Arabidopsis thaliana: one gene and its partner. The protein of the gene in region 2 binds, or shares a complex with, the protein of the main gene of each other region. Each region holds a gene or a part of one and is shown on either strand. Other genes may lie near its edges. A codon is read from its position in the direction of its gene.

Evidence for each region. Proteins that work in one complex are often made in the same cells at the same time.
Region 1: the proteins of PFN2 (region 2) and AFH1 are in contact, whole or in part, in a crystal structure (PDB 6IQJ), measured with the Arabidopsis thaliana proteins. Residues at the interface, in NP_194664.1 of Arabidopsis thaliana: Met1 (codon at 2,034), Ser2 (codon at 2,031), Trp3 (codon at 2,028), Tyr6 (codon at 2,019), His10 (codon at 2,007), Trp33 (codon at 1,938), Gln99 (codon at 1,151), Tyr125 (codon at 1,073), Leu126 (codon at 1,070), Ser129 (codon at 1,061), Leu131 (codon at 1,055); in NP_189177.1 of Arabidopsis thaliana: Pro527 (codon at 2,884), Pro528 (codon at 2,881), Pro529 (codon at 2,878), Pro530 (codon at 2,875), Pro531 (codon at 2,872), Pro532 (codon at 2,869), Pro533 (codon at 2,866), Pro534 (codon at 2,863).

Annotation. Positions count from the first base shown.
Region 1 is NC_003074.8:9,250,365-9,257,460, forward strand, and holds AFH1 (formin homology 1), read right to left. Parts: upstream 4,720-7,096; 5' UTR 4,463-4,719; coding exon 2,589-4,462; intron 2,503-2,588; coding exon 2,297-2,502; intron 2,116-2,296; coding exon 1,871-2,115; intron 1,787-1,870; coding exon 956-1,786; 3' UTR 729-955; downstream 1-728. UniProt on the Arabidopsis thaliana protein: Might be involved in the organization and polarity of the actin cytoskeleton. Involved in polar pollen cell growth process by maintaining tip-focused cell membrane expansion for the polar extension of pollen tubes.
Region 2 is NC_003075.7:14,447,669-14,452,168, reverse strand, and holds PFN2 (profilin 2), read right to left. Parts: upstream 2,282-4,500; 5' UTR 2,035-2,281; coding exon 1,912-2,034; intron 1,434-1,911; coding exon 1,296-1,433; intron 1,185-1,295; coding exon 1,050-1,184; 3' UTR 775-1,049; downstream 1-774. Other genes in the region: AT4G29360 (O-Glycosyl hydrolases family 17 protein), read left to right, coding at 1-226, 318-360, 451-607; PRF4 (profilin 4), read right to left, coding at 3,702-3,836, 3,922-4,059, 4,320-4,451. UniProt on the Arabidopsis thaliana protein: Binds to actin monomers and regulates the organization of the actin cytoskeleton. At high concentrations, profilin prevents the polymerization of actin, whereas it enhances it at low concentrations.

The sequences.
Region 1 (7,096 bases), on a different chromosome or scaffold from region 2:
CGGTCACGAATCATGATCACTTAAACTCCACAACTTCACGATCACGAATCACGATTACATAAACTCCACAACTTCACGGTCACGAATCACGATTACATAAACTCCACAACTTCACGATCACGAATCACGATTACATAAACTCCACAACTTGACGATCACATAGAGTTTGCTTCCTCTCCAACACAATTTCAATATTGATTTTTTCACAACAATTTCTACAATTTTAACTCAATTCTTGTTTAATATTCTTTTTGCAATGTATTTCGAGCGTTAGTGAACTTGTAAAATTGTTTGTTATCAGTTATTACATTTTTTAAGATTTATTTTTTTTTGCTATAGAATTTGTAATTTGAATACCCTTGTTCTTGTTGTAATTCTTGTATTTAATATTCTTTTTGCAATGTAATTTTTGAGCGTTAGTAAACTTGTTATTCTTCGTCAGACCCCGAGAATAAAGTTTTAGTGTTACCTGGTAAAATGAGGTCTCCAACACTTTCTTAAACATTTTGAGAGAAAATAAATAGATAAAAGTGGATCATCATCACGATGCAGAATCTAGATGCTCACCTCTCGTCAATTATGTTCCAACTTTGGTTCAAATCCAACAAGGTTCTTTGAAGAAGGTAGAAGGTACTGGAGGTAGTGATTTATAATGATCATTATATTCAGCAACGAAGGGTAAGTAAGTAATATGTTTGCTCTCACATTCTTTCGTGGTACACACGGTTCAGATAAACAAATTTATTTGATTCTTAAATTATTAATTTAAGATGAACAAATTTTAAGGTAAACCTATATTATTTTTTTTACACAAATGCAGAAAAGAAAAACACTTCTTTGTTTCTGTCATTAATTCCCTCCCTCTATATATATATATTTAAATCTATTATGACAAAACAATCCAATACTGGATACTTTTTACAACAACATGCACAGACAAAGCTGAGATCTCACCTTAAGAAACTAATGAGATTGAGTTATGTTCGTCTTCATCAGACGAAGAGGTTGAAGACGACGACGAAGAAGAAGAAGATTGTCTTCGTCCAACGAGTCCAGGAAGAGGTTGTGGCATCATTGGATTCACTGGAACAGGAAACTTATGAGCAGAACTAACCATTGTTCTTTCGTTTATCATCCCTACTTCTTTGCAAACTCTGTCTACTACTCCAAGGAAGTCTCTAACCACCAAGAATATTCTAAACGGATGCGCTTCTTCTTTAGCCGAGTTTCCATGGAAATACTCTGTGATTTCTTTTACAAGTGATAACGCTACGCTCTCTTGAGCTTGTACTCTGATGATCTCTTCCTCAGCTCTTTTCAGAAACGTTTTCATCGATTCCGAAAACCTCTGACTGTTGCTTTCTTCTGTGATTGTTGATTGGACTTGGATTGCTTCGTTGATCTTGGCAATGCCTTGAGAAAGCTTGGAGACGTAGCTGCTTAGTACTTCTGAGTCCATCGCAGCAGCTTTCTTGACGTTACTAAGCTCAGAACAGAGACTTGATACAACTTGGAGACCTAGTTTCCGGCATTTAATGTCATCTGTTTGTGTATTGTTACCTGAGAGACGTGTGCCTTCTGCTCGGATTATCTCTTGTACAACGAAATGCAAGAGAGTTGTTTTCCCATCAGCGCCTTTGACATCGACTAGCTTGAGAAGTGTATCAAGCTTGAACGCATGTGCATCTCCTCGGTTTGTTCCAACGTTCATACGGTTTCCTGTCTTTAGAACCGCTTCAAGAAGCTTTAAGAACATCCTACTGTTCCTCAGTTCTTCACAAGCAGCCTACACAAACAATAGAAATGAAGTCATAATCTGTTACAATACAACCATATGGTAAAAAGAGAGAGAATAGCTTGTAATATATACCTCAAGAGTCTCAAAAGATTTCTTCAAGTATTCAACCTCGGACTCAAAGTTGGCTACATAGAGCATTGCATCAACTCTTTTAAAGGCGAAAGGGATGTCCAACATTGCCTTAAGGAATTTCTCAGCATGTCCAAGCTTAACAGGCGAATCATCATTGTACGCTTTCAACTTGCGCTCTTCTTCTTTTGTCGGTGCCATCTTCAGTAAGCTCTCAAGAAGTTCAGTCCCCAGTGTATCAGCATTGCCTGAAAAAGCATAACTAAGAACATCAATGTAACCAAGAATCTCCACACCATCAAAGAAGCAAAGCTTTCAGAATAACTCAACCATATCATCGAAAAACCATTAACAAATGCATAAGAACTCTAATTCTGGAGATCAAAGGAGAAGAAAATGAGAAACTATGTATGTGACAGCATAGTTTACCTTCAAGAAGAGCCTCACAAACTTCTTCTATAGTGACATTAAGTGCACGAAGCAAGATGGCAATATTCTGAGCCTTCTTCGGGTCCAGGACTCTGTTCTCTTGGTTCGGGCTCGGGAGAACACATCTTGGAGTTGTCTGACTCTGATTTGGTTTGTTGTTTAACGACTTCGCCACAAACAACGTCTCAATCATCTCCTCATCTAATCTGCAAACCACATTCATAATCTCAACAACCACATTCTCACTAAAAGCATATAGTATCATATAAACGAGTATGTCACATTAACTCACTTGAAAGAGCTTGATCGAAGATGATCCCAAACCATCTCACGATCCGAACTTGCTCTAACTTTATCCCAATGTAACGCCTTTAGCTTCGGTTTCGGAGTTTCCTCCGCCGCCTCACTCGCACAAACCGTCTCTGGAGTCTCCATAGGAGACGAAGTCACTGGTAAGTTTTCAGATGGGATCACAAAAGGATGTGAAGGCGGTGTAAGAGAAGGCGGTCTCGAGATTGTGTCCGCTTTAGTAGTCACCTGACTCCGTCGTCCCCACAACGGCAACGGTGGGGGAGGAGGAGGAGGCGGAGGCACACGAGACTGTAAAATTTGAGGTGAAATGTTCGATATCCGTGGTGATACATCTAAGCTATGACTAAAATCTCTATCCGGAGAAGATGATAGAGACTGCGAATTCCGGGAAGATAACTTAGGAGATGTAACTGGTGACTTATGAGAAGCTTTCTCCGGTGAAGAACAAACAGAAGAAGAAGACGACGACGGTGAACGAGAACGTAATGCATCTAACTGCTTAAGGAAACCTTGTCCTCCATGAGAGTTAGAAGGAGAAGATAGTAACTGAGATTGCAAACCTTGCCGGAGATTACTCATAAACGCCGGTAAGACCTCCGGAGATTTCTGAAAACATCTATACGGTGATGTAGAAGCAGAAGAATGCGACGGAGATCTCAAGTAAGCTTCTGGTGTATCATTTGGTCGTCGTTCCGGTGAAGTTGAAGTAGATGATAATGGAGAGTTCTCTTTTTTGTTATTCTCCGGTGAAGTTGTTAGAGATGTAACCGTCGGAGATCTAAAGATTTGATTCAATCCTACTTCATCGGAGTTTTTCAATCCCGACGATAAAGAAGCTAACGACAGTGACGGAGACCGAACAAATCTATAATCGGTTAACTCCGCCGGTTCTGGTGTGGAGATAACCGGCGGTTTTGGTTCAGATCTCTTAGGACTCATTGAAGGAGAGATACTGATAAATGTTGATCTTCCTGGTGAACCAGAGCTTGAAGATGAGCAAGAGATAGTGTCATTGTTAACAGATCTAGGATTTTGACCCGGAAGTCCGACCCGGTTTAACGGTTCTCGCCCGCTTTGTGAGCCACGTGGAGAGTAAAACTCATCTTCTTCATCTTCTTCTCCGATTGAACCAACATCTGGATTTAAACGGAAACTTCGTTTCATCAATGGAGGAAGTGGTTGAAGATCTGGAGATTCAAGTTTTCTTGAGCTTGATCCATTATTACTAAGAGATTGTTCATCGATTCCTCTTTGATTCACCATTGTTCCTAAGTAAAGAAACTCAGAGCTGTTGTTATTGGTGGAGCTCGTGGTGGTCCTCTGTTTACTTCTAGCCTCCGCATTGCGTCGTGTTGGAGGCGCCGTTGCCGGAGGAGGAGGGTAGACACGGCGGCTACTGTCGGTGGTGTATGTTTTGCTATCATCGGAGAAGTTAAGATCTTGGTTACGTTTGCTTCTTCGCCAATAGAGTAAAGCGATAAGTAGAGCGACTAAAGCAGCGGAGGAAACGGCGGAGATAGCGACGATAAGGAGTTTTTTGGAGTTAGGTGGGGATTTAGTGGCGTGAGGGACGATTAGAGATGAGATATTCGCCGGAAAAGAAGCGAAGGAGGCTGGAGAAGGTGGTGGTGGAGATGAAGGGTATAAAGGGAAGAAAGGAGAAGCATTTGGGTCTGATGAAGATGGAGGAGTGGTTGAAGAGAATGGTAGTTTAGGAAGTGGTGGTGGTGATGGTGGTGACGGTGGTGGTGAATCTATAGGGAAGAATGGTTCGTGGAGTACACGACGGTCGGCGAAGACTAGATCGGAGGATGAAGATAAGAGTAAGTAGAAGAAGAATAAGAAGAAGAGCATTGTGTTATCTTCTTCTTTCTTCTTCAAGAGTTCAAGATCTGAGAAAAGAGAAGAGAGAAACTTTTTGAATAGAGTGATGAATCCAGCTAAGATTCTGCTGGTGATGGTTTGATAATTTTGTTTTTGGTTTGTTCTCTTAACTCAGTGATGGTGAGAGAGTAGTAGAGAGAGTAGAGAGAAAGCCAAAAGAGGTGATGGAAGAAGAGTGGTTGATTCTTAATTTTATTTTTACGTAGTGGGGTCCATTTCAGACAGTAACATATGAGATTATAACACGTAGGATAAGACGTGGACTTTGTAATAGTCCGCAGAAGTGTACACACTGAAAGTAAACACTGTTCATTGAATTGCACCGTACGCACAATGTTGAAAATAAAAATGCGAGTGGATTTTTATTTTATTAAAAAGTTATTACGGCGGTTTGACGACGTCTGTAATAAAGAAAACATAAAATAATGGTGTGTTAATGTTTGAGGAGGAGGAAGTGGTAGTGGGTGTATTGTGCTGAGTTCTTTACTTTATTTTGACCGACACTGTCTCAGGATGTGTAAATGGTCGGTTCATGTGCTTTCGCCGAATGCTGTATGTACAAAGCGTAAAATTGGAGGACAGGTCTAACTGGTGTAGATAATAAGGAGGAATTAGGACATATGATGAGAAACTTATACAGTAGCATCGTTTGATAAAATATCGATCGTTGCAAATAGTTAAGTTAACCATAAACTTTTAAATGGCTACATCATGGTTCATGCAATAACCATATCTCTAAATGCGTCCCTTAAATCTTCTTAATAAGCCAGTTATACTTCCTGCGTCTTATGCAAATGTCGACTGTGTGAATCCTCTTTCTGTTTTGGGGCAACAAACATTAGACCACAACATGGTTTTGTTTGTTTTTGTTGGATTTTGCAATCATAAAAATGGCACTAGAAATTGATGGTATTGAATATGACAGAAATACTGAATTTACCAGGACTAGGACTGCAAAATTTATCAAATTTAAAGCAAATAATGTCTGATTCTTGTAAAATTTGTGGGCCTGTGAATGTTAAGAAAAACTATAAAGTGAACTATTAATAGTTCATATAAAAGTTCAAATAAAAAGAGGTGCTAGAAAACCATAATTGGACTAAGAAAGGGAGTAAAATAATTGGTCACGTGGGAAAGCTACTGAAAATGTAAGAGTACAAGAGTATCAGGAAACCACCGACACACAAAATTGAACTTTATACTTTTATATGCAAAAATACCTTATAAGTAGTCTCATCGTTTTATTTTTAAAATTTATATAGTGTTTCAAAAAAAAGAAAATCATTGCGGATGGATGAGTAGTTGTTTTACGTTTGTGGATGAGTTTTTATTTTACACCATAGCGGATGGTTATAGAAGAACCTCTAAAACTATCTCCATTGGTAGTATCTCATAAGAATTTTTCATAGTTAAAAAAATAAAAATAATAAAAGTAAAAGAGAGATTGTAGAAAGTTTCTCGCTTCAGAAACTTTGAGATACTTTTTACGATCCATCATGACAATTTTCTTTTTACTATTGGTTTAATTTTTTAACAAAAATATTTTTTTAATCAAATAATCAAATTATAATATAATATTAATATTTTTTTGTTTGAGAAACTTTATGGATTTCTCGTGGATGAAAATGCCCTAAATATTTAGTTGAAATTGTAAGAGTGATGAATCATATATATGAAAGTTGGTCAACTCTCTTCATATGAGTGATCATACAAGAAAATGACATGTGTCATTCTACATTAATTAAATAAACAAATTAGTAAAATTAATTGAGGAAAAATTAAAAGTTTTTTGTTGTGTTACATTTTCTATTAATCTCACTCTTAAAGTGAATTTTCTAAAAACATTCAATAAATAAAAAATCATAATAATGTATCAAGTACTACTTTCATTCTATTTTACTTATTTTTTAAAAAAAATTTATCAATAGTTATTAATCCATAATGGCTAACATTTACGTGTGTTGTAGTTTAGATGTTTGCTATCTAACCTCATATTAATTTAGTAATTTTAGTTGGATATTTTCTTATTATTACGTTTTATGTGAATCTTATTTATCATATGACCTTCTTTATGTTTATTTTTGTGCGGTCTGATAACTTGATAACATTGATATACAATGTTTTCACGTAATGGTCATCCGAGGCATTAGACATATCCACACAGAAATATGAGAATCTATATGGCTATATGCAAAGGAACGGCTATATGCAAAGGAACAGAATTAAAGTGTTGACTTAAATTGCTAGCATATCATGATGTGGTTGGTGTACTAGATGACGAAAGAATATATGGAATAAAGAATTGTTTGTTAAAATTAAGTTAAACAAGTTTCAAAATACATAAGTAATATAATTACATATTAATATATCATAAAATGATGTTGTATGTTTTCATGATAGTGAAATAGTTGAATAATAGGTATATAAATATTCATATTATAGTAAAATTGATATTTCGAATTATAGATAAATTTAATCAAAAAAAATTATAACTATATAAAATAGATATAAATTTATTAATTACACATTAAACACACGCAAAACTGAACATCAAAATCAACAAAAGACCATAATCATATATTCCGACAATTTTAGAAATAAAAA
Region 2 (4,500 bases):
GCTTCTTCACAAGCTTCGGTAACGGAACTGCAGACTGCATTGGACTGGGCTTGTGGTCCTGGAAATGTTGATTGTTCAGCTGTTCAACCAGACCAACCTTGCTTTGAACCAGATACTGTTCTCTCACACGCATCTTATGCATTCAACACTTATTACCAACAGAGCGGAGCAAGCAGCATAGATTGCAGCTTTAATGGAGCCAGCGTTGAAGTTGACAAGGATCCAAGTAAGTATTTGTATACATACACTTTCCAAAACACATCCATTAAGAGTAATGTGAAGCCATAGTAGTCTCATTTGAGCTCTCGAAATTGCAGGTTATGGTAACTGTTTGTACATGATTGCTCCGGCTACCGACGGGTGACTTCTCTCTCTGATTACTCAATCTTGAATCTATCGAACTGGAAAAACGAATCTTACTTGCTGATGTTGTTGTTGTTACTTTTGCAGATTCAACAGAACAATGGCGGGTAATATCACTGGAAACATAACTGCCATTGATTCCCCCTTGGCTTCGCCTTCGTCAACCAATGAAGCATTCAGACAAATGGTGGTTGCAGTCTCTGTTTTGTTGCCGTGTTTTGTAGTTTGTTCGAGTATTTGGTGACAAGTGTGTACATGAATGCACTGTCGCCTTCTTTTGTATGAAGTTTTGAGTAGTGAGCGAACTTAAACTAGAATTTAGCCCAACTGTTGAACTTGGTAATTTCTTTCACCACGTAACCGAAATGTCAAGCTTGGTGATGTATTTGTGACTGAACCTAGAAAATTTTTATGAGCTGATCGAGAACAAATGATCACAAACTCAAATTTTTATTCCAAAGCGTAATTATACATTACGAAATACAGTACAAGAGAAAAACATAAGAGCCATCATAGGAGAGGATCAAAACCATAACAAATATGATTGTTTCTTTGTTCTTTTTAAGAGTATAATAACTTTGTTTGATGCACAACAACAATCAAATCACAATACATGGCAGAAGGGTGCTTCTCTAGTGAAGAAAGAACCCGAAAAATGAAATTTGTTTGAAGCACTTTGAGTGAACTTAGAGACCAGACTCGATAAGGTAATCGCCGAGCCTCTCCACGACCAAGTTGCATTGCCCTCCGGTCATCGGTTCATCATAGATACCAAAGACTAGAGCTTGAGTAGTCTTCTTGATAGTGACTCCACCAGGTCCCTGCAAGAAGTAAGCATGGACTTTAACTTGCTGATCTAAAAGACTGATCCTTTGATTCATTATCTCAATCAAAACCACAAAAAAAGAGTCTTCTCGAATGAAAAATGTTACCTTTTTCCCTCGGATGACGGCTCCAGCCTCACCTTGGACAACCATGTACTTCTCACCGCCAAGGAATAGCCCGGTTGGGGCAAGATGTCCGGCTTCTTCAAAGTCTTTGTTGATTCCTGCTATCTCTGCAGGCTTCAACTAAATACATGAACAAGAACAACAAAGTAGGCAATTAGCTTCAACCGACTGAGCAATGATACTACTACCAATACAACAGATCCTTTACATGGTTTATACAATACTGAGCAGAGGTGACAATTCATATGCAATGACCCTAAGATCTCAAATTCAAGTAAAATACCAAATTTTGAAGAATTTGGTGAAAAGTTTTATCATTTGATGAATTGAAAGGAGATAAGATTCTGTGCCAAGCAAAACACCTATAGACAAGATTTGACTACTGAAACCATGAAAATCTCAGAATCAAACTCCAATCAATCACTGAGAAAATCAGATTGTCAGAGAGAACAAGTCAGAAGCTAGCAAATCAAAACCAGATCCAAGTTTCCTCAGATCGGATCACAAGGAATAAACCTAAATCAGACGATTGAATCAGATCGATGAACTTATTTGAGACAGAGGATCGGAAGAAACGCGAAGAAGAAGGAAGAAAAACCTGAGGGAAAGCTGAGCTCTGAGCCCAGACACTGCCGTCTTGGCCGAAGATGGCGGCGTGTGTGAGGTGGTTGCCTTCGACCTCGCACATGAGATGGTCATCGACGTATGATTGCCACGACATCTTTCTTCTTCTCCGGCGAGATGAGACTGTTTCTTCTTCTTCTTGTTGTCTCTGCTTCTTCTTCTTCTTCCTCTTCTTCTGTAGCGTGCTTTTGGTTTGTAGACTTGGACAACCTTTGAGCTTAAATTATTAATAACACGATTTAGCCTTCCAATAAAAAAAAACTCTTTTTTAATTTCTACTGCAAAAAATTCCATTAAAATACATATTTTATTTATTTACTGAATTTGATAAAGACAGCTAAAAGAAATACCAAAAAAAAAAAAAAAGTAGATACAAATGAAATTCAAAATGTTTTGTGTGAAAGTCGATAAATAATTTTAAAATGATAATCAAAAGAAAATATTTTTAAAATGATTAAAATTTGCATCCGGTTAAAAGAAATGATTTTTTTAATCTATTAACAATTTCATTTCTCGGGTTTTACATTATTTCTACAGTTTTTATTTTTAAACAAGATCATATAGAAAATGCATATAATTCTTGCATGGTATAATTTGATCTAACGCTAAAAGTATATTGAAAATTTGTGTAAATAAAATTGTCAAACCAAATGTGAAAACGTTTTAGATTTTATTGGAACAAATGAAGTTTACATAAATAAACAATACAAAAGTTTTTTTTTCTTTTCTAAAAAAAACAATACTAGAGAATTTAATTTCCAAAATCAAAGAAAAGAGATCGAAGTATGGCCATAATTTGTTTACAGGGTGGATATGCTCTTGCATTGTGTGCCATACACCAAAATATTCCAATTATTTAGGTCCACCCTTTACAATTAATGTTCTCTTTTCCTAATGTCATTGTCAATAAATGTTTCTTAATTACCCAAAATTTAGAAAGATGGTTAATAAACCTTTTTCTATTCCAAAAAAAAAAAAAATGTTTTTGAGTTATTGAAGAGAAACAATCACTTGCTATTGTTAATTTGTTATATGTGCATCGTATTGATTCAAAGTGAATATTGTGAGATAACAAAAATTTCCTTATATCTAAGTGATAATGTAATAATAGGGAAAAAAGACTGAGATTCGATTTCTCGATGAGCTGTTAGATTAGCACATAATAAAGACAGATGGGATGGGAATGATTTTCCGACATAATTGTACTATTATTACTTTCCTATTAAAGATTAAAGTTGATGAATGAATTCTGCCTGTTGCCATTTTTCTTTCTCATGTTCATTTTTTCTTTCTTACGAATGAAATCACTAGGAAAGATTGCGTTGCGTATCAGTTTTTTCTTCTGTTGTAAATAATGAGTGTTGATGTATGTGTTAAATGCTCGTGTAAATTTTGAAAGTGTTTTTAGTATTGTGAGATTAATGTCTCTACTACACTACATACAATTTTCTATAGATTATGATAATGCAATTTTCTCAATCAATACGTTAATATTTAGTGTAGTAGACAGAATGCAATTGACAAAAAAGCAAAGAGAAAACAACTAAAACATGCATATAAATAAGAAACCAAGGCAAAGAGAGTAAAAGCCTTTTAGGCTTCAGCTTTCTTAAAAGTTTGCTATGGGGAGAAACCAGGAAGGTCCATTAGCCCAAAACTTATAATATCAATTAGAGAAAGAGATGCAAATCACCCAAAGGAAAAAAATAGGAGAAACAATGGCCTTATAAAAAAATGTAGGTGGTGGAACATTGTAAGAAGATTCTAGAGACCCTGTTCGAGGAGGTAATCACCCAACCTCTCGACGACCATGTTGCACTGTCCTGGTGTCACTGGCTCTTCATAGATCCCAAACACACATGACTGTCCTGTTTTCTTTATCGTTATGCCTCCTGCTCCCTAATTGAAAGAAGCATATATTGAATTAGAACCCTCTTCAACATGGTATTTGCATATCTGATCATGAAGCTACTGATTAGGTTACCTTCTTGCCACGGATTACAGCCCCGGGCTCACCTTGGATCACCATGTACTTTGCTCCTGCCATGAATAATCCCGTGGGTGCCAAGTGACCCGGTTCGTCGAAATCTTTCATAATATCACTGAACTCCTGTCCCTTGAACTATATGAAAGACCAAATCACGATTAGTCGATTACCATGAGACAACATGCATCATTTGTTTTCAAATCTATGCAAAACATATAAAAAGAAACACACACACACAAAATACACTATATATATATCCCATGACAAACATTGATAGAATCTAATCAAAACATGATGCATGATCTAAATCACATTGTAAAAACACATATCATATCGGATAGCAACACTATCAGGATCTAAATCACATTGAGATCAGACGCAATGAAATCAAATACCTGAGGGAAGTTGGCGCTCTGAGCCCAAACGCTACCGTCATGACCAACGATAGCGGCAGCAGTAAGGTGGTGTCCTTGACCATCGCCAACATCACACATCAAATGCTCATCAACGTAAGTTTGCCACGACATCTTCTTCTTCTTTTCTTATTTTTTTTCTTCTTCTTTGTTTATGATCTAT